Kluyveromyces lactis: one gene and its partners. The main gene of each other region encodes a partner of the protein of the gene in region 5 in a complex. Links are inferred from orthologs where the notes say so. Each region holds a gene or a part of one and is shown on either strand. Other genes may lie near its edges.

Region 1 (2,294 bases), about 930 kb from region 5:
CTTGAAAAGCGAATTGGAACATTGGAATAAACTACCGATGAGTCCAATATCTTTGTCTTCAGAAAACGATCAAACTGAGGACGATAAAAACCGAATGATTCAAGAGAATTTGCGGAGAGAGATTCTTTCCTTGAAGAATGAAAGTAATATTTTATCAGAATGGATCAAGACCCTTATTTCTTGAATTTCTTCAAATAAATATTCTGAGCCGTACCCAGAATTGCGTATGCCAAACTAAAAAATACGGACCATTTATCTGGTGAAATGTATCTTTGAGCAATTGACATCAATACCGTTGATGTTGCCAAGCTGGAAGACAACATTGCCGCATATCTTGTCTTGATTGCGTGTATAATTTTTGTTTTGTCAACCTTACCGTTGTTAACAGAAGTCAAGGTAAATAGTAACCCTAACACTTGAATAGGCGATACCATGCCTAATGAGCAGCCTAACTGGACCAAGCTTCTATATTTGGATACCACTTTCCTAATTGTGTATTCGTTTATCCATTTGTAACTGAAATGATTAACTGGTGCGTTAAATAGACCACCATATAGACTCATCAATGCCACTTTGATCCAATTTAGCTTCTCTTTTCTTTCCTCTGGAGACAGACTAACCCATTGACTGAACAGTTCGCTTAACCCAGTTAATACCGCGCCTGTTATGCATTTAGTTAATAACGGGTTACGTTTGAGTAAAATATTATATCTCTTCAAGATTACTGATGACGACATGTTTACTCTTGGCGTTAATCTTTAATACTCCCAATCTCTCGATGCGAGCAGCAGTAACCTTGAAAGCTTGCGATCCATGAGATATGAAAAGAGTAATATCTGACTTTAACATCTATATATATATATATATATATATATCCAGATTTTATCAAAGCAATGACTGACAGAACGTTTTGTTATCGCTTGCATGGATAGTTTCTTATCGCACTTCTCCGTGTATCTGTTAACCATTTAACATGAGATGCAACGGATCTAAATACTTTTTGGGTTCCATGTAAGATTCGAACACATGCTCGCTCGAATGTAAGAAACCATTGGAATCTCACGCAAATGAGTTACCCTGTTAAGGCACGTGATAATATGAAATTTCCACTCTTTTCCAGGAAAGAACGACCCCATTGATTCTTGAGTATCAATTTGAACCATTTCATCCATCATTATGTAGAATATGTCAATTGAGTAACTACGATCAAATCCTGATCTTTTATCAAAATCAGGAAGTTGCTTGTGGATCATCTGTTACTTTTGCAAAATTCAAAACTCTTTTTCATCAAAACCATTTGAAACTGGTAACAGCTTTCTGGTGTATCTTTAGTCCGATTGAAACAACGAAGTTTTATATACAGACAAAATGCAGTTAACAGGGTTCTTAAAGAAACTAAAGAATGAAAGGGTGTCTATAGAGTTGAAGAATGGTACCACTGTTTGGGGAATAGTGAGGAGTGTGTCACCGCAGATGAACGTCTCTCTTACTGACGTCAGGCTGACACTCCCTACTAAGACCTCAGAAGCTACCTTGGCTGCCGTCTTATTGTCAGGTGGATCGACACAAGGACAAGAATCTAAGAGAACAACTAGCCTCGAGTTCATCAACATTAGGGGTAATACGATAAGGCAGATTATTTTACCAGATAGTATCAATTTGGATGCGTTGCTTGTAGACCAACAGGAAGTCAACAGGTTGAGGAAACAAGGTAAAGTGGGAAGTGATCCGAATAAGAAGAGATCACTTGAGAGTAACGGGAATGCTCCTAAACGTCCAAAGAGGGCATTTTAATATACATCAGAAAACATATGTGGAAATAAATATGTAGTGATGTTATGGACTTTGTTTTGATGAATGATTAAACACTATTGATAATTATCTTTCATAATGAATAGCCGTTCTTTCCAGTCGATGCCTCCAAAAAAAGAAAGAATGGAATCAAATTTGATCACTGTCATCTCTTGGATCAGAGCTGGAGTCCGAGTCGCTTGAGCTCTCATCGTCCTCTTCATCGTCCCATATTTTACACCAATTGCATTTTCCTAAGGGGATGCCCCAAATTTCATTCCTGTCGCATAACCAGTCTATCAACTCATCGAAATGTATCAATTTAATCTCTTTTTTAATCGATGATGACCAACAATCCATATCTAACGAGTAACTTTTTAATTTTCTATGATCAAGTATATATTTCTTCATTAAATCATGTAATAAATTGAACGATATATCTTGCTCGGAAGGATTACTCTCAGTTAAGAAATAATACGAGATTCTCATATAACATAATACCA
Region 2 (2,330 bases), on a different chromosome or scaffold from region 5:
GTGTTGAAGTATCGCATATCTCAAAGATTATCGGGCTTGATGCTCAACAAGTAGAGGGCAAACTTTCACAAATGATTTTAGACAAAGTTTTCTTTGGTGTGCTTGACCAAGGAAACGGATGGCTTTATATTTATGAGACACCACAACAGGATGCCACTTATGATTCTTCGTTAGAATTGATCAATCAACTCAATGGAGTTGTAGAACAACTCTTTGAAAAAGCCGCTGTATTATACTAAAATTAAAAATTCATTATAATACGCTCATCCTTCAATCATTAAAGTAACTTAGTAAATAAATATATTTTACGTAGGTTTAAGATCATTCGAAATTCAAATAAAGTATTCCTCCGGTACCTTGAAAGGTACGCCCAATATTTTAGCAAACTCTTTGTCACTGTCACTAAAATCATTTGGTCTTCCTGCAGCATCCCCGCAGTAAAATAAAAGTTCAATTGAGTCCGATTGTTCGTCAGAATCTTTAAGAAATTCATCAAACAAACCACGATTGGGTTTTCTCACATTATCAAACATTTCAGGTGTTACCATTGTCCCGTTTATTCTTTTCTTCTGGCCAGAAATAATGTTCTTAACAACTTTATTTGCGTGAGCAGTGCTGGCGGCTTTGCTGCCACCAAAAAGGGAAGCTGGTTTTTTAGTAGCACAGTAAATCCAAATACGATCACACAGTTGAGAATCGTTTTCCGATATGTATTTCAATACTTTGCAAATTTTATCAACGTGTTTTACGCAGCTTTTAGAGGTTCTAGGTTCACTAACAACACCGCCTTGGTTGGAGAAGAAGACGATGTGAAAATCTGGTGTTTCCTTCATTTGTGCCGAAAGTTTAGCAAGTACCTCGGTTTTTCCATATTTCATGAATATCCAATCATCTGATGTCCTACTGAATCGGCCTTTAACTGGTTTGATCACGGTGTGATCAAGGTCAAATGAGATGACCTTCCTTACAGGGGCGGGATCTTTGGGAACCCATTTTATGATATGAGGGAGAATGGTAAGCTTATGAGTAGACTGTGACATGATAGCAAACTGTTACAATTAATATGACAATGGCTGACTCCTTTGAAATACTCTTGTACTTTACTAATTTGTAGTTCCATTTATGCCTTCTTTTGAGATGAAATGACTTAAAAGATCCAATATGGAAAACATCAACTAATTTAATGTTGACATGCATAATAAGTTCCATGACCTAGGAAGAGATCAGGTACTGAGTTCTGAGAAGGAGTACTATTCACTATAAATCAATATGTCATTTGGACGAAGAACATGGAATAGAGAAGAGTATGCTGCCAAGGCAGCAACTTCTCCAGGAGGGCAATCTCATCTTTCATCATTAGACCAGGAACAACTGAAAGCTTTAAAAGATAGATACACAGACTACAATGCTTTACTCGAGTATAATCTACGCGACATCAATAAAAAGACGTTATCAGCCAATCTAAGTCAGCAGAAAAAAGGTAAACAGTTCGGGTTTTACTGTGACATATGTGACTTAACCTTCAAAGACACACTACAATTCATTAACCATTTGAATCACAAATCACATGTTGTACGGTTTGAGAACATATTCAACGAGCCATTGATAAAAGATACGAGGGATAATGATCTAGTACCACTTAATGAGGTACGATCCCAGTTTCATAAATCTGTATCAGCATTTATCGGGGACACTGAATTGAGATCCAATAAACGCAAAGCGGCAAAGAGAGTCAAATGTGAGAAATCTGATGCAGAAATCAAATATCAACCACAGTCTGAAATCGGCAGGTTAATGGGTTTCACAGAATTCGGAAGTTCCAAGAAATAACATAAATATTGACGTTTTTATTCGAAGCATATCTACATCCCACTATTCACAACGTACTTCTGCTGAATGGCAATTAGATACTGATGATATTTACAAAGTTTAATCGAGATAAAGTTGGATGGATTGTTATAGGAAGTCCCCAGATATATGCAAAAGGGTGCCGATGGGGAAAATGGCATGAGGGGTCATTTTAGATGGTCTCAACTTTATCCACGGTTTTAAAGTATTTGGAAACCTGGCCGTCTCCTTCTGAATTTGGTACAATAACTTTGTCGATAACGGAAACCTCATTTTCGAACTTGATCGCATCTTTTATATTGTCTGGGAAGTCAAGTAGATAAACAGTGTCACCCTTTTGACATTTCTCCTTCATATATTTACCTATCAAGACGACAGAGAGACCTGTTGGTAGTTTTTCCATGTACGATTTCCCCTCCTTTTCATATAAATCATTTAAAAGCACATAATATTTATCGTCAGACTTATTTCTGAAGAATTCA
Region 3 (4,300 bases), on a different chromosome or scaffold from region 5:
AACGTGAAGAGTTAGCTTTAATTGAAGAGGCATATGACAATCCTCATGATACCTTGAATAGAATTAAAAAACTATTGCTAACCCAAAGATTATTCAAGCCAATACAACTAACAATGATGGATCATTATCAACACATATCTCCAGTCTATAACGTTGATCCGTTGGAGAAAATTACCGATGCATATCTTGACCAGTATCTATGGTATGAAGCTGACAGAAGGCAGCTTTTCCCTAGTTGGATAAAGCCAGGTGACTCAGAAATCCCGCCACTTCTTGTTTACAAATGGTGTCAAGGCATTAACAACTTAGATTCTGTATGGGACATCAGCAAAGGGCAATCGACCGTATTGTTGCAAACTGATTTACAAGAATTCGTTGAAAAGATGGATTTGACACTAATAAACAGGCTCCTAAGGTTAATTATCGATCCGACATTAGCGGATTACATTACTGCAAAGAATAATGTCAGTTTGATCTTTAAGGATATGAATCATGTTAACAAATATGGTCTAATAAGGGGATTACAATTTGCACCATTTGTTTATCAATTTTATGGTTTAATGATTGATATTCTCATCTTGGGACATGAAAGGGCACAGGAACTAGCAGGCCCTCCAAACGAACCATCTGAATTCTTGCAATTTCCAGATAAAGCTACTGAAACGAAGAGCCCAATTCGCCTCTACTCACGCTATCTTGACAAAATCCATATTTTATTCCACTTTGAAGAATCTGAGTCTGATGAGCTTATCCAAGACTATTTGATGGAAAACCCCGATCCAAATTTTGAAAATTCTGTTGGTTATAACAACAAGAAATGCTGGCCTAGAGACGCCCGCATGAGGTTAATCAGACACGATGTTAATCTAGGTCGTGCTGTTTTCTGGGAACTTACATCTAGGGTACCAAAATCACTTGTTAACATAACGTGGGAGAATACTCTTTCTTCAGTTTATAGCAAGAATAATCCTAATTTACTTTTCACTATGTGCGGTTTTGAGGTGAGAATACTACCGAAATCTCGGATGGAAGATGTCATTTCTCATGATGAGGGTGTATGGGATTTGGTGTTGGACTCCACAAAAGAACGGACTGCCAAAGCGTTTTTACAGGTATCACAAGAAGCTATTGATGAGTTTAGAGGTCGTATTCAAAGTATTTTGATGGGTTCCGGCTCCACAACTTTTACAAAAATTGTGGGCAAATGGAATACTGCACTAATCGCTTTGTTTACCTATTTTAGAGAATCTATCGTCACGACAGAACCGTTACTCGACTTACTCGTGAAATCTGAGACTAGAGTTCAAAATAGAGTAAAACTCGGCTTAAATTCTAAAATGCCAACAAGGTTCCCTCCAGCAGTGTTTTATACACCTAAAGAGTTAGGTGGTTTGGGAATGCTCAGCGCATCGCACATTTTAATTCCCGCTTCTGACTTGAGGTGGTCAAAACACACAGATACTGGAATAACACATTTCAGGGCAGGGATGTCCCACGAAGATGAGAAGATGATACCAACAATTTTCCGATACATTACTACCTGGGAGAACGAATTTTTGGACTCACAGAGAGTATGGGCGGATTATGCTGCTAAAAGACAAGAAGCCATAAAACAAAATCGTAGGTTGGCATTTGAAGAATTAGAGGGTTCTTGGGATAGAGGTATACCGCGGATCAGTACCATATTCCAAAAAGATAGGCATACGCTAGCCTATGATAAGGGTCACAGGATTAGGCGACAATTCAAAGAGTATTCAGTGGAACGTAGTAATGCTTTCTGGTGGACAAATAATCGTCATGATGGTAAATTATGGAACTTGAATGCCTATCGTACGGATGTCATTCAGGCCTTAGGGGGTATCGAAACAATTCTTGAGCACACATTATTTAAAGGAACTGGCTTTAAATCATGGGAAGGACTTTTCTGGGAGAAAGCCTCTGGTTTTGAAGATTCAATGCAGTTCAAGAAACTTACTCATGCACAAAGAACTGGTTTGAGTCAGATCCCTAATCGTAGGTTTACGTTATGGTGGTCTCCGACGATTAATAGAGCGAACGTCTACGTTGGGTTTTTGGTGCAATTGGATTTAACAGGAATATTCTTGCACGGTAAAATTCCAACATTGAAGATATCTTTAATTCAAATTTTCCGAGCACATCTATGGCAAAAAATCCACGAAAGTGTGGTTTTCGACATCTGTCAAATTCTGGACGGCCAAATGGATATACTACAGATTGAATCTGTTCAAAAAGAATCAATTCATCCACGTAAGTCGTATAAGATGAATTCGTCTGCTGCTGACATCACATTGAACAGTATTTACAAATGGAAGGTTAGCAGACCAACATTGTTGCATCAGACGAAAGATTCTTTCGACGCTACCACAACTGACAAAATGTGGATCGATGTGCAGCTTAGATATGGTGACTATGATTCTCATGATATATCAAGATATGTCCGTGCGAAATTTTTAGATTACACCACAGATAACGTGAGCTTGTACCCGTCTCCTACTGGTATTATGATCGGTATTGACTTGGCCTATAATATTTACGACTCCTATGGAACGTGGTTTGAGGGATTGAAGCCCTTGATACACAACGGTATGAAAACAATAATGAAAGCTAATCCAGCACTTTACGTTTTGAGGGAGCGTATCAGGAAAGGTCTTCAGATATATCAATCTCAAGTTCAAGAGCCATTTTTGAACTCATCCAACTACGCAGAGCTATTTTCCAATGACACAAAATTCTTTATCGATGATACGAATGTTTACCGGGTCACTGTTCATAGAACTTATGAAGGCAATGTGGCTACTAAGCCTATCAACGGATGCGTGTTTACTTTAAATCCGAAAACAGGTGAACTATATTTGAAAATAATTCACACTTCGGTGTGGGCGGGGCAGAGCAGATTGGCTCAATTGGCAAAATGGAAAACCGCAGAAGAAGTAAGTGCATTGGTTAGATCGTTACCCAAAGAAGAACAACCTAAACAAATTATAGTTACTAGAAAAGCTATGATGGACCCTATGGAAGTACACATGTTAGATTTCCCAAACATTTCGATTCGTCCAACTGAGCTCAGATTACCTTTTTCTTCTGTTTTGAACATAGAAAAATTAAATGATGTTGTTTTAAGCGCTACAGAACCGCAGATGGTTTTGTTCAACATTTATGATGACTGGCTAACTCGAGTTTCTGCCTACACTGCTTTCTCTAGATTGATATTGCTATTAAGAGCGCTCAAAACCAATGAAGAAAAAGCCAAAATGATTCTATTAGAGGATCCTACAATCCCAACGAGAGCTAATCATCTATGGCCTTCTTTTACTGATGATCAGTGGATTGAAATTGAGACGAAGATGCGTGATCTAATTCTCTTAGAGTATGGTCAAAAATACAATGTAAACATTGCTTCTTTGACTCAAACTGAAATCAAGAATTTGATTTTAGGACAGAACATTAGAGCTCCATCTGTTCAGAGGCAGAAGATGGCAGAATTGGAGGCTGCAAGAAATCAGAAAACTGATGAGTCGTCGCAGTCTGCCACGGCAGCCATGAAGCTAAAAACAATCAATGCTCAAGGTGAAGAAATTACAGTGGTGTCATCCAGCAATTATGAGTCCCAATCTTTCAGTTCGAAAAATGCTTGGCGGTCAAATGCAATCTCCAATTCATTGCTACATTTGAAGCTTAAGAACATATATGTTACTGCCGAAGATTTTGTAGAAGATAAAGATGTCCTCGTATTCCCACGGAACTTGTTGAAGAAGTTTGTCACAATAGCTGATGTCGATGTCCAAATTGCAGGGTATATGTACGGGTCACCTGTAAAAGATCACCCTAATGTGAAGGAAATTAAGACGATAGCACTTGTCCCTCAACTCGGCAGTTCCGCAACTGTTCGCATATCTCCTCCCCCCTCATCTTCCAAATATCTCAACGACATGGAACTGTTGGGATGGATACATACCCAAAAAGTCGATTCCAAATTCATGTCACCATCTGAAGTGATCACTCATTCCAAAATGTTTTCAGATCATAACGAAAGTGCTGTTGATTTGTGCATAAATCTAATCCCAGGTGCCGTATCAATTACAGGATATACGTTAAGCACTACGGGTTTCAACTGGGGCTTACAATCGAAAGACATAACGGACCCTTCACCAGAAGGGTTTGAAGCTTCATTTAGCGAGACTGCACAGATTTTATTATCTGAACGCATTATGGGCAATTTCTTGGTACCTTCGTCATCGATATGGAATTACGCTTTCATGGGAACTGCTTTTAGCGAAGA
Region 4 (2,175 bases), on a different chromosome or scaffold from region 5:
GTAATCAAACCATTCGTTAAATTAATAAATACATCCTGATATTCTTTTCTTTGTTGAGCGTAACGTTGTAAAACTAACATTTGCCTCAAATTAAACCAAAATGGGAAAGTATACGAAACGATATCGAGGTCAGTGTTCTTGCAAGTTAATACCAAGATGACTTCAACCAATGGTTTGAATAAGGCAGGATTCTTTGCAAGAAAAACACACCACGCTTCGCCAGCTTCAACGAATAAACGTGTGAGTGGATCCATAATCTCTTCGTATTCTTCCCAGTCAGAAATGGTTGTGATTGGCAATAGCTTTTGTTGCAAAGCTAAAAGTTGCTCGTAAAGCGCATGTATGATTGTATCGTTGGCTGCGTCTCTCGTTTCTCTTAATAACACACATAAGCATTCTACTGCAGCTTCAAAAGAATCAGAATCAGTATCATATGAAGTATGCAAGACTTGGAACACGGTGTTTATCAATGGAGTCACTTGTAATACCTGTTCTATTGGAAATTCATAACACCACGATCCAAAGCACGAAATGATTTTAGAAGCAGATATGCCTTCAGTTCCGACTCTATCCAAACATGAAATCAAAAATTTCAATACGTCTTCTCCAATGTTATCTATAAGTTCGTGTGTTCTACACTCAAATTCATCTTGGGATAGAGGAGTGGATTTGATATCCAATGTTTCCTCTGGGAGAATCTTCAAAAACAGTAGTAACTTTCCCGGAAGACCATTTAGAGTATTAATAATTTCAACTAGCGGATTCCTCCAATCAAGATACTGAATGGTAAATCGGGCTAGTGCCACGTTCAACTGTGTTACTATGATCTTCTCTTCATACATAGCGATGAACTCAAAGAGCTTTCCCTTGAAACTCTCTAATTCGGTATTGACCTGGTTTAGATCATAGGTGACTTTGTTCACTAGAGTTTGACAAGCAAACATTTGCAACTGTAAGTTGTCTGCTTCATGCTTGCTTAATACTTCGAAGCAGATTTGCCATGCTTCTATGCTCTTTTGAAATTGCTCCAAAAATTGTAAAGCTTGTATCTTCTTCTCCTGTTCAGAAACACTTTGAGTACAAATCAATGCACTCTTGATATCTGGGATTTGATACAACATCAATATTGATCAATCACGTCGTTCTTGCTCAACGGTATCTGCTGTGGCAGTTTTTATGAGTTCCTTTTATAGTGCATAAGTAAGATCAAATGTTTTGGTTGATTCAATATATAAAATTTTTTTAATATGTTAACAATAATCCTATTAAACTAATATCAAACGAATTCAACATGGCACTAGTGACTGACATTAATAAAGGATAACTGCGATCTGATTATAGTTACACTAACATCGACCTTCAATACACCGAAAGATTCTAGAAAAAGTCTAAAATGTCCGGCTCTAAAGTAGGAGCTCCTATGGTACCTCCAATCAATTGCATATACAACTACCTTCATCATCAGACAACAGTAACGTTTTGGTTATACGAACAAGTACAGACACGTATAAGAGGCAAGATCAGAGGCTTTGATGAGTTCATGAATGTGGTAATAGATGACGCTTTCGAAATAGCTGTAGATCCGAAAAGTGGTAAAGAGAGCGATGATAAAGCAGTGTTTCTTGGGAGAATTATGTTGAAAGGTGATAATATAACACTTGTTGTGGCAAATTGATAATGCCTACTCAGAAAATGATAATAGGATGAAAGAAAGATGCTTAGAGTGTAGAAGCATTGATCGGACTCTGTCGTGTAATTATATAAGCCTGTATATTATAACGGAAAAATGAAAGGCACTGAAATTTCGATAACGGCGACAAGCACTATCAAGGCTAATAAAGATATATTGTTCGTAATCTTATGGATCTATTTACAATGTGTTGCTCAGATTGGGGAGAATACCTTAAGTTCATATGGTTTCTTTTGTGTCAGTGATATTATCTAAAAGATATATCTCAAAGGACAGAGTCTTTACGTTCTTCCGCTTGTTTAGTTAATTCATCCAATTTGGTATTAATTTCCTGGTTAAATTGTTCCATCTCACCAGATAAAAATTCCTTCACAATTGGCAAACCTACGTATTTGCCGTTGCCCAAAGTACCAAATAATGCATCCGAAATTTCACCTTCGTTTCTTGCTGTTTGTTGAGAAGTCGACAAAGACAACTTATTTCTT
Region 5 (3,259 bases):
TTGTGAGATTGGACAGTTCTTCAAGTATTCCGCCTTGTTCTTCAAGATCCTGACCGATTTGAAGAAGATTTCTTCCGGTGTCATAGCACCAGAACTCTCCACGTTAAAGATGAAGTGGTCTCTCACCCTACCCAACTTAACCTTCCCCTGGAACTCATCGTGTCTCAACACCTCTCTGGACACGGTATCCTTCCTTGGATCCTTGATATAAGCTTCACCCTTCTCGTTGACATCTGCGACACCTTTAGGGAAACATTTCACAAATTTCTTGGCATCATCACCGGTGATAGGCTGTGTGATCTGGATGTGTGGTAATAGTCTATAACTAGCTGTCGACACCGGAGAGAACTTGGCATGGTCTGCACCGATACCTAGAATACAATGTGCCCTTAACGAAATCTCTTGACCTGGTCTCAACTTGGCCAACAAGATATCTGGATCCGCTGCCACCACGGGACACTTGGCAAATTGTTCCACCTGTTTCCCCTGAGGCTCAAACTTAAGGTCCCTAGCATAGATATGCGCGTTTCTATAAAGAACCTTGGGGTCTTCACAATCCTTTGGAGCATCTGGGTTCCTGGTACATTTCACGTTCAACGACATCACTATCGTATTTTCATCTGTAAACCTTTCAGATTCGGGCAATGACGTGTCCACCCAACTCAACATATCTGGATCCACCTTCAATGGCACTAACCCGATTCTATGCGCCAACACTTCGTCCTGTAGCACAGACGTATTGTTAAAAAAGTAGACGTATTCTGGAGCGACAGATGGTACTTCTGAGATCATAATACGACGGAAAGCGTTAGCAATCGATGTGTCGACATGAACCAAATCGAAATTCACTTCACGCTCATCCAAACTCTCGATTTGTACGTCAAAAGTTTCCTTGAACTTCTCCAAGTCCCATGAATTGTCTTGATCCGAACTAAATCCAGGGAAATCTGTTGAACTTGTGTTCGTCACACGGTTATATTCAACACCAACGATATTGGACATCCTTTTTCAATTGTATTGCTACGTTTATGCTACCTCTTGAGCTCTCAAACGACCTCAGAAAAGCCCTATGACACTGGTCAAGGTCCGTCTCATCGGTGTAGATACCTCATCTCAAGCTCATCTCATCGCTTTAAAGAACTGAAAAATTTTTGGAAAAGAAAAGATCACATCGTATAGAGTGATTATATATGATTAAAGATTGGTAGAAATGCGATGAGATAGCTACTCGAGAGCAGGTACTAGTCGATTACTGCTCTTTTGACCATCCTCAGTTAGTTCAGTATGTGGTATTTTACAGTTGGATTGTAACTGGATAACCATATTCCCCTGTCTTACTCTTTCACAAGGTGATAATGGACCTTTTAGATGACGAAGATTATGGAAGTGTCAGCGATGAGGAAAGCTTGGATGATGGGTTAAGTGGTGTAACCAGTGGTATAACCAGTGGTATAGCCACAGAATCGGATATTTTACCCTCTCCTAGTGTTAGCAACCTAATATCTGACTTTCACGCGCAATTCTGGCACCAAGGCGCGGATTTAGATGACCTCATCCAACTTGCCAAGCACGAAACTATAATACGAGATGCAACAAACCATACGACAGAGCCTTACAATGTCATAAAACTGGGCCAATTGATGCCTTTATTCGATACAGAGCTTTCCATGGTGTTTCAATGCATTGTAGATACCTACAAGGCCAAGTTCCCTGGGTTGGAAACTATTGTCCCTGAAAGGAAACAATACGTCGACGTGGTCAAGATGCTGCAACAGGATATTCCCAACGTGCAATTAGACCAAGTGCTATCGAAGGAGGAAACCCTTGTGGTATCTATGTCTCTAAAGACAGATTTCAAAGAGGGTGCTCGAATTGATAAGGATCTCCTCTCCAAGGCCATCCATTGGTTCGATATTCTGTACAACTTACGGGACAACGTCTCACACTATGTTGAGACAAGAATACAAATGGTAGCTCCAAACTTATGTGCTTTATTGGGACCTGATACTGCAGCTAAACTGGTAACACATTGTGGTAGTGTTAAAGAACTAAGTGTGGTTCCCAGTTGTAATTTGGCATCCATTGGCCAGGACAAAACGTTGCATGGCAAATCGTTAGATATCTCTGGGGTACGACAAAAGGGATATCTATTCTATACAGACGTGGTACAAACACAGCCTCCTGAGTTCCAGAAACAGGCGCTTAGAATGGTCTCTGCCAAGGTTGCTCTTGCTGCGAGAGCGGATTGCACCATGGGGAATCAAGTCATTAACCCAGATGGGAATTCAGATGGGAACTCAGATGCCTCGAAGCTGGGCTTGAAATGGAGGCATGAAATCGTTGAAAAACTCAAGAAGATAATAGATCCGCCGAATATCAGTAACATCAAGCCGTTGCCGATCCCAGAAGACGCTCCAAAGAAGAAAAGAGCTGGTAGAAGGTTCCGTAAGTACAAAGAACAGTTCAAGATGTCGCATCTAAGGCAAATGCAAAACAGAATGGAGTTCGGTAAAGAGGAACAGACCACCATGGACCCATACGGAGAAGAAATAGGGTTCGGGATGGCCGATTCAAAGAACGTTTCCGCATTGTCCTCTTTCAATAAGACCAAAATGCGTAAATCTATGCGTTTAAGATTAGATCAAGAGACTAAAAACACGCACAGTTTCCTACAGGATGAGAGGTCCGAAAAGCTCAAACGTAGTGCAGAGCACCCACAAGCTACGGACCCCGCCACCAGCAAACAACCACGGTTGTGAGACACCATAGTTCTGCCGTGTACCTTTTATACCCTGTATATGTCTATTCATAGATCTGTAATTACGATTCCTATTATGGCAAAACCAAAACACAAAAAGATGATCCAATGTTCGAATTGAAAACTTTAAACAAAGAACACAACTTAACCATTGAACTTTAGGGTCTCTTATTCGATCAGATCTGCCGATAATTCATTGTGTCAAGTCAGAAGTAACGTGTCTGACCTGAAGCACTAACGGTTTTATTTACATACTTCAATCACACAGTTTAAAATAAGAAATGTTTACAAGAGATGCGAATGGTCGTCACAAGGAGGTCGACGCATTGGTCGACGATATGGTCAATTTCAGTTTTGATACGGATGCTAAAGTTATGCTAGATCCCCCAAGCACTCCAACGAGAATACGTGGTTCTCCGTCTCCTACTAGATCGATAGTAAAAAACCCTGAAAACTCGCTCATGGATATCGACGATGATACTCAGGGAGATTTGACGGCAG
Region 6 (4,180 bases), on a different chromosome or scaffold from region 5:
ACGGCTTAAACTGTACAGTGCTCTTGAAGATGTAGTCACCGAGCCAATACCTGAAAACAATAGGTTTCCCAAGATCAATAGAACAAGGAAGATGGAAACGAATAACGATTTAGTAGATTTTGTGAAGATAAGCACGATGGGCATGACACCTTCATGATTCATTACCTCAGAGACATCAGGTAGAATGAGCATCATTGGGATCAAGAAAAATAGTCCGGAAACTAGTGAGATTATCACAGAGCGTGTCATACTGTAAGGAATATCTTTCTCTGGTTTCTCAGTTTCGTCAGATAATGCCGATAACATCGCAAACCCTTGGAAAGTGAAATTAGATTGCTGAAACCCTCCAATTAAAAATGACAAGGCCATAGAACTATACCCCGACAAACTATTATCGAATTTGGTAAAGACATCCTTGAATGATCTATGGTTTGGTTGGAATAATAGGAGAAGTGTACTTGTGAATAATATCGCATATAAGATCCAGTAAACACAGACCTTATTGATAGTTTCAATGAAACTTGAAAATTTTAGATTAATGACTCCAACCACAGTCACAATGAGATAAAACATTAGCACAGTCCATAACGTCAACCACCGGGAGTCTATCAGAGATTCATTAGTCATTGTCAGCAAAGAAATAATCAATTGTGCACCCGCAAACGTAATACTAGTGCTCATCGTCCAACTTCCAAACAACATTAGCCAACCACAGTACCAAGACATACGCAACCGAAGTCTGCCAGGCGCAAGCATGGCCGCTGCACCGTGAAGTTCTATGGGGTACTTCGAGACTATCTCACTGAGCGACAGTGAACTAATCCACGTCATTATCCCACATATCAGATACCCAAATATTATCGATGGAGATCCACCATTTAGCAATCCAATACTCATAGTAGTGCTCATACCAAGTACGGGACTCATCAACCCAAACCCTAGACCAATAACAGAAGTCCGCGAAAGTAAATTCTTGTCAAGTTGCTGTACATATGTAAACTCTTTAACCTCATCGGGAATATCCTGGTCTTCCTCGTTCAATAAAGACAACAATCGCTCGGGAATGTGTATGTTCCCGTTAAGATTAGAAAGCCAGATGTATTCAGGCATTTCAAAATGCAGTTCGGCTCTGTGTGACCCCTTGGTAAGCTCACCCTTTTTATTTCCTAGAACCCTTTCGGCATCCGTCTTGGCAAAATGTCTGTCTTTTCGAGGGCTCATCGATATTTTCAGTTCTTAGACATTATGTAAATGTTGACGAAAGTCAAAGCTTCGAGTAATGAAGATAGAATGATAAGCACATGCATTGCTCTTAGGGAAGACTACTGCGATTTGGGTGACGTGACTCAGCACTGAGTACTTTTGGAAGGAAATACAATAATGGATGAAGATTTGTACGATGAGTTCGGTAATTTCATTGGGGATCCAATGCAATTAATCGATTCTGATGATGATAGTTTGGAAGAAGTAGGAGAGCAGGAAGCTCAACATGAATTACGGCAAAAGATAGTCGAGGCTGACTCTACCGATGTGGTACTTCGAGATGTGAACCGTGATTTCGATGATGATGTTGAAGTTTTGTTGGAAGTGGAAGATAGAGAACCTGAGAAACCATTGATTGGGGACGATTCGAAATCATATAGCGAAGCTGTTAACAGGAAAGTACCTAAAGCACTATTTGACAGAGGGTACTTGAAAAGCCTTTTCTCGATACCAGAACGTCAGTTAAATGTTGGAATTTTCGGGGCGCTACATTGTGGTAAGACTTCTTTCACGGATATGTTTGCGTTAGATACTCATCGCAATCTTCCGTCCTTGACAAAAAAAGTTAAGGAGGGATGGGTACCGTTTAGGTACCTCGACCAAGCGAGGATAGAAAAGGAACGTGGTATTTCGCTTAGATTGAATGGTATGTCGTTTGCATATGAATCGTCAAGAGGACGTACGTATGCAGTGACGATGTTGGACACACCTGGACATGTAAATTTTTGGGACGATGTCGGTATTGCTTTGACTGCTTGCCAATATGGTGTAATCATCGTTGATGTGATAGAAGGAATTACTTCTGTAGTTTCCAAACTGATAAGAGAATTGATAAGTAATGGGATCCCCTTTATCATCGTTCTTAACAAAATTGATAGATTAATTTTGGATTTGAGACTTCCTCCTACAGACGCATACAGCAAACTACAATATATCGTGAACGAAATAAACACATATACCAAAGAAAGATTCTCACCGGAGCTAGGTAATGTACTCTTTGCCAGTACCAAGTTTGGATTCTTATTCTCTGTGGAGTCTTTTGTGAACTCATTTTACGCTAAATCGTTAAAGGATAAGACAGAACAATTTGCTGCTCAACTTTGGGGTCAAATTAATTACAGAGAAGGAGCATTCTACCAAACAGAATTTATTACGGACAACATTGCATTCATTCAGTTTATTTTACAACCTTTATACAAGGTTTTCACTCATACATTATCTGCATCCGAGGAAGAACTAAGAACAGTCATCGAAACCAATTTTCAAATCAGGCTTTCAGATGAGATTCTATCAAAGGATCCTCAGCCGCTACTTTTTAGCGTGTTTCATGCTATACTACCGCACTATCACTGCTTCATCGATGCTATTGTTTCAACACAGGACCACAAAATCAACAACTTATCATCCGATGAAAGCACTGTTGTACATGTATTGAGACACATGAGCCTGGAAGGTTCCAAGTGGTCCCTTTGTCGGATAATAGAGGGCTCAGTGAAAAAAGGCAACAAACTCTATATTTTCAATGAGTCCGTAGACTCTGTAGTAGATTTTGGTGATGATGAATACTCCAAGGTTACTATTGAGCGTGTAGCCTTAATGGGAGGTAGGTATGTCTACGAACTCGAGGAAGCAATAAAAGGACAGATTGTACTTTTAAAAGGTTTTGAAGATCAGTATACGAAATATGCAACTTTGTCTTCGAGCTTGATGAACCCGCTAGCACCAATTAACTATCTCAACGAATCGGTGTTCAAATTCGCCATACAGCCTCAGAAACCAAGTGAACTACCGAGACTATTGAACGGTCTTCAACAAGCAAACGAATTGTACCCTGCATTAGTGGTTAGAGTTGAAGAAAGCGGCGAAAACATCATAATTGGAACAGGAGAACTTTACCTTGATTGCGTGATGGACGAATTACGGAAAAAATTCTGTGAAATTGAGATCAAAGTAAGCCAACCGCTTGTGCAATTCACGGAAAGTTGTCAGAACGAATCGTTCGCGTCAATTCCTGTAAAGTCAAACAACGGTGTAGTATCACTCAGCGTTATGGCCGAAAAATTAGATGGAAAGATAGTACACGATTTGACGCATGGTGAAATCGACAGTTCAGAATTGAATAACATGAGAAAGTTCTCCAAACGTCTAAGAACCGAGTATGGATGGGACTCATTGGCAGCTAGAAACTGCTGGGATTTATCAAAATGTAATGTATTCATTGACGATACTCTACCTGATGAAACGGATAAGCAACTACTCAAGAAATATAAAGAAAACATTTTACAAGGGTTTGAATGGGCTGTGAAAGAAGGACCATTGGCTGATGAAACAATCCATGCATGCCAATTTAAACTCTTGCAATTCAAGGTACAAGAAGACAGCATCGAAGATATCATCCCATCTCAACTAGTGCCAATGACGAGAAAGGCATGTTACATTGCGCTAATGTCTGCTACTCCAATTATCATGGAACCCATCTATGAAGTCGATATTATCGTATCGGGGGTATTGGAGTCTGTGATTCAGAATTTATTGAAGAGACGCAGAGGTGGAAGAATTTACAAGACAGAAAAGATAGTGGCATCACCATTCATAGAAATAAAGGCTCAATTACCTGTCATCGAGTCGATTGGATTTGAGACAGATCTTCGTGTTGCGACCGCCGGTAGCGGAATGTGTCAAATGCACTTTTGGAATAAAATATGGAGAAAAGTGCCAGGTGACGTACTTGACGAAGAAGCCTTCATACCGAAGTTGAAACCAGCGCCTGCTGCAAGCCTAAGCAGGGACTTTGTGATGAAGACAAGACGTCGCAAGGGTTTATCTGAAAGTGGTCACATGACTCAAGACGGGCCATCATTAAAGAAATACATTGATCAAGATCTATTCAAGAAGTTGCAACAAAAACGATTTGTAT
Region 7 (3,371 bases), on a different chromosome or scaffold from region 5:
TCAGAAATTAATGATTTAATGACAAAATTAGGGTCTAAAAGCGAACCACATAAGGTTTTGAAGGGTTTACTAGAAGAAATTTCAAACTTGCAAGATGCCCGCGAGAGAGAAAAACGAAATTCGGAGTCTAAATCTTCTGAGAGAACATACATGCAAAAGGAGATAGAAAGAGCCGCTCAATCTGTTGATGAAAGCAACAAAGAACAAGATAAATTAAGAGAAGAAATCAAGCTCTTGAAAACGAAAATAGAGGACAGTGTAGCCGAAAATAAAAAGAAGGTTGCCAGTGCTGAACAGAGAATAGATCTCTTGAAATCACAACTACAACAGGAAGGGCAAAATCTTGGAGGGCTTCATTCTAAACTTGGATATATAACTGATAGACTATCGAAAATTCAACCCAGCAGAGGAAGACAGGCGACTAATGGCCGATCGAAGAAATGATACGTAATTTTAACATCCATAATGATTAACGTTTTTACAAATTTGCGTAGAATTAATTAGACTCCCCATTTGTTAACTGAGCGGTCCCAACCCGCGCTATATATATCAGGACCTACAATATCAATTGACATAACCTTATCAAGATGCCCTTCAAGGCTTCGTTCCTTTATCCAGTTCCCATCATTGAAGATATTTACTTTCTTGTCATATCCACTCGACACTAAATATCCTCCGTTTTGCTTATTGAATTTGACTTGTGAAACAATGCTATTGTGAGCTAAGATCGTTTCCACATTTCCCTTTTTCCTAATATCCCAAACCTTTATAGTCCCGTCACCACTACCAGACGCAAGCTGATATCCATTTTGGGACCAGTCAACGGAATAAATAGGTTTTGAGTGTCCCTGTAATGACATGATATTTTTACCGGACCGTATGTCCCATATTAATGCAATTGCATCCAAACCAGCTGTACTCACCAATGAGCCATCATTGTGAAAAGATAGTGAGAAAACCTCCGCAGAATGACCTTCCTGAATCAAAATAGGGGCTTGTTTCACAGTATCTATCAGGATCCATGTTTTGTCAAAAGACGTACTTCCAATAAAACTATTACATGGATGGCATCGTACTTGGGCAAACCTGGCATCATTTTTATACAAGATCTTAACTGTGGTTTCATCACCACTATCATATATTACAATGCGTCCATCATGGGTACAGACAAAAATGTTTTTAGAGTCCACGCTCCAATCCAATCCACTAATCTTTGTGCCAGATAAAGATCTATTGCAGTAGATTTTGGACAACGAATTATCGACCAGAGACAAATTTCCGGACCAACTGCCACAAGCCATCAGGTCTCCACCAGGAGAAGTATTAATTTCAGAAATAGGTTTCTCATCTATCACCTGCATTCCCTTCAAAGAGAACTGTTTCAATTTACTTTCCAGGTCCCTTCGCTTACTTATGACGTTTTTCACATTTTGGCTGACAAGTCTTCGTCTCTCCTCCTCAAGCCTCAGCTTAGAGCGTTGCATAGAGTATATTATAAGAAACTTCCTCATTTCTATCAACTGCTGTGATGCTGGAGTGTAGAACTCCTCGTCTTCATCATCTACTTTACTTCTTTCAGTATCGATTTTCGTCTGGTCTTTGGAAGTTGACTCTACTAACCTTGTAACTCGTTCTCTGGCTTTTGGATCGCTAAGAATAAGATCAGAAAGTCGATCTCTGCGAGAATAATTATCTTCGCCAGCGATATCAACGGGCTCTCCCACTAGCTCTAGTGCTCGTCTAACGTCTGTATCTAGAGTAGGCACAATTTTGAGCCTTTCTTGCCTTTGGAATTCCAATCTTTTCAGAGCATCTCCGACTGATTGCCCATCCTGGTTTTTGTAGTCAACATCTACCTGCAAATCATCTAATTCTACCATTAGAAGTTACTGCAGATAGTCCAAAGGTGAGTTGTTACCGGTGCCACTTTTTTGATTTCATCTCTTTATCATCTCACTTCTTTAAAAGCATATTCATAAAATGAACTTTATCGTTATTCCTGAATATGAATAGTTCAAAAGTTGGAAAACAAGTGAGGTACTCCATCGAGTAAAAAGGGTCTGAAGCTAGGCGTCGATCGAACGATCATGAGTGAACAGCAGTTGTTAAGAGATAAACACATTGATTATATTGCGTCTTTAGATACTAAGAAAGATGATCTAGAGTACTGGCTCTCAGAACATCTAAGGTTGAATGGGGTATACTGGGGATTGACAGCCCTCTATCTCCTTGATTCTATCGAAACATTCAATAAGGAGGATGTAATACAGTTTGTCCTAAGCTGTTGGGATCATAAAACTGGTGGGTTTGCTGCGTTTCCAAGACATGATGGTCATCTATTAACGACTCTTTCAGGGCTTCAGATTTTGGCTACTTACAACGCTTTAGAGCGCTTGGGTTCAGAGAAGCAAGAACAATTGGAAAAATTTATCCTATCCAATCAAAAAGCAGACGGCTCATTCCAAGGTGATAGTTTTGGTGAAGTCGACACACGTTTCGTATATACTGCATTGAGCTGTTTGTCCATTTTACACAAATTGACGAAAGAAGTTGTAGAACCAGCAGTTTCGTATATCCTTAGATGTTACAATTTCGATGGCGGATTTGGCTTAAATCCTGAAGCAGAATCTCATGCTGCTCAGGCATTTACTTGCATTGCTGCTTTAGCAATCGTCGGAAAATTAGACTCTTTAACTCCAGCTCAGCAGGAGAATATTGCTGTTTGGCTCTCAGAAAGACAAGTTCCAGAGGGGGGCTTAAATGGTAGGCCAAGCAAACTGCCCGATGTATGCTATAGCTGGTGGGTATTATCAACACTTTCAATACTCCAAAAAGCTGATTGGATTGATTTTCCCAAGCTAACGGAGTTCATTTTGCATTGTCAGGATCCCAAAAATGGAGGGATTAGTGACAGACCAGACAACGAAGTCGACGTATTTCACACGGTTTTTGGTCTAGGAGGATTAAGTATAATGAAGTATCCAGGATTAAGAGATATTGATCCAGTATACTGTATGCCATATACGGTGACGAAATATTTCCAACGCAAGTACTCAGATTAGTGTCTTAGAAACTTAAATAAATTATGAATGCTAACGACCGCAAAAAGTAGGTCCACAAGTAGTTTAATATTGATAAATTAAAATGGTAGCTCTTCCTCTACTAGAACCTTAGAAGCAGGGAAGAATTCTATATATTTGGCAGCTCTTTTGTGAATAAATCTACCGGGGTTGATCGTTTTGCATCCGTTGTACGTTACATCGAAAGCTGGTGCGCTAGTGTCACACAGCATGATACTCGATGGAAGCGGTGATAGCTGCAATGTGAAATCAAGATCCCAAACAGTTGGTCGAATTCTTGATGAAAACGGA

Evidence for each region.
Region 1: PRP31 (region 5) and SMD1 share a complex: the UniProt entries of both Saccharomyces cerevisiae proteins name them as parts of the U4/U6-U5 tri-snRNP complex. The link is inferred for Kluyveromyces lactis from reciprocal best matches to the Saccharomyces cerevisiae genes PRP31 and SMD1.
Region 2: PRP31 (region 5) and SNU23 share a complex: the UniProt entries of both Saccharomyces cerevisiae proteins name them as parts of the U4/U6-U5 tri-snRNP complex. The link is inferred for Kluyveromyces lactis from reciprocal best matches to the Saccharomyces cerevisiae genes PRP31 and SNU23.
Region 3: PRP31 (region 5) and PRP8 share a complex: the UniProt entries of both Saccharomyces cerevisiae proteins name them as parts of the U4/U6-U5 tri-snRNP complex. The link is inferred for Kluyveromyces lactis from reciprocal best matches to the Saccharomyces cerevisiae genes PRP31 and PRP8.
Region 4: PRP31 (region 5) and SME1 share a complex: the UniProt entries of both Saccharomyces cerevisiae proteins name them as parts of the U4/U6-U5 tri-snRNP complex. The link is inferred for Kluyveromyces lactis from reciprocal best matches to the Saccharomyces cerevisiae genes PRP31 and SME1.
Region 6: PRP31 (region 5) and SNU114 share a complex: the UniProt entries of both Saccharomyces cerevisiae proteins name them as parts of the U4/U6-U5 tri-snRNP complex. The link is inferred for Kluyveromyces lactis from reciprocal best matches to the Saccharomyces cerevisiae genes PRP31 and SNU114.
Region 7: PRP31 (region 5) and PRP4 share a complex: the UniProt entries of both Saccharomyces cerevisiae proteins name them as parts of the U4/U6-U5 tri-snRNP complex. The link is inferred for Kluyveromyces lactis from reciprocal best matches to the Saccharomyces cerevisiae genes PRP31 and PRP4.

The regions. Positions count from the first base shown.
Region 1 is NC_006040.1:320,348-322,641, forward strand, and holds SMD1 (mRNA splicing protein SMD1), read left to right. Parts: upstream 1-1,368; coding exon 1,369-1,794; downstream 1,795-2,294. Other genes in the region: KLLA0_D03740g (uncharacterized protein), read left to right, coding at 1-184; KLLA0_D03751g (uncharacterized protein), read right to left, coding at 174-737; U4/U6-U5 snRNP complex subunit PRP38, read right to left, coding at 1,942-2,294. UniProt on the Saccharomyces cerevisiae protein: lays a role in pre-mRNA splicing as a core component of the spliceosomal U1, U2, U4 and U5 small nuclear ribonucleoproteins (snRNPs), the building blocks of the spliceosome. Also binds telomerase RNA and is required for its accumulation.
Region 2 is NC_006041.1:139,236-141,565, forward strand, and holds SNU23 (U4/U6-U5 snRNP complex subunit SNU23), read left to right. Parts: upstream 1-1,269; coding exon 1,270-1,830; downstream 1,831-2,330. Other genes in the region: proteasome regulatory particle lid subunit RPN6, read left to right, coding at 1-239; TPP1 (polynucleotide 3'-phosphatase), read right to left, coding at 333-1,040; AIM36 (Aim36p), read right to left, coding at 2,021-2,330. UniProt on the Saccharomyces cerevisiae protein: Participates in pre-mRNA splicing. Part of the U4/U5/U6 tri-snRNP complex, one of the building blocks of the spliceosome.
Region 3 is NC_006037.1:471,930-476,229, forward strand, and holds part of PRP8 (U4/U6-U5 snRNP complex subunit PRP8), read left to right. Parts: coding exon 1-4,300. UniProt on the Saccharomyces cerevisiae protein: Functions as a scaffold that mediates the ordered assembly of spliceosomal proteins and snRNAs. Required for association of BRR2 with the spliceosomal U5 snRNP, and the subsequent assembly of the U4/U6-U5 tri-snRNP complex.
Region 4 is NC_006037.1:204,513-206,687, reverse strand, and holds SME1 (mRNA splicing protein SME1), read left to right. Parts: upstream 1-1,393; coding exon 1,394-1,675; downstream 1,676-2,175. Other genes in the region: mRNA transport regulator MTR10, read right to left, coding at 1-1,121; mitochondrial 37S ribosomal protein PET123, read right to left, coding at 1,956-2,175. UniProt on the Saccharomyces cerevisiae protein: Involved in pre-mRNA splicing. Binds and is required for the stability of snRNA U1, U2, U4 and U5 which contain a highly conserved structural motif called the Sm binding site. Involved in cap modification.
Region 5 is NC_006040.1:1,253,026-1,256,284, forward strand, and holds PRP31 (U4/U6-U5 snRNP complex subunit PRP31), read left to right. Parts: upstream 1-1,355; coding exon 1,356-2,759; downstream 2,760-3,259. Other genes in the region: DNA-directed RNA polymerase core subunit RPC40, read right to left, coding at 1-1,002; KLLA0_D14905g (serine/threonine-protein kinase), read left to right, coding at 3,040-3,259. UniProt on the Saccharomyces cerevisiae protein: Promotes the association of the U4/U6.U5 tri-snRNP particle with pre-spliceosomes to form the mature spliceosomal complex.
Region 6 is NC_006037.1:603,631-607,810, forward strand, and holds the start of SNU114 (U5 snRNP GTPase SNU114), read left to right. Parts: upstream 1-1,380; coding exon 1,381-4,180. Other genes in the region: TPO5 (Tpo5p), read right to left, coding at 1-1,221. UniProt on the Saccharomyces cerevisiae protein: Component of the U5 snRNP complex required for pre-mRNA splicing. Binds GTP.
Region 7 is NC_006041.1:426,787-430,157, reverse strand, and holds PRP4 (U4/U6-U5 snRNP complex subunit PRP4), read right to left. Parts: upstream 1,881-3,371; coding exon 501-1,880; downstream 1-500. Other genes in the region: HDA3 (Hda3p), read left to right, coding at 1-444; Rab geranylgeranyltransferase BET2, read left to right, coding at 2,088-3,062; DPB2 (DNA polymerase epsilon noncatalytic subunit), read right to left, coding at 3,140-3,371. UniProt on the Saccharomyces cerevisiae protein: Involved in RNA splicing. Is required for the association of U4/U6 snRNP with U5 snRNP in an early step of spliceosome assembly.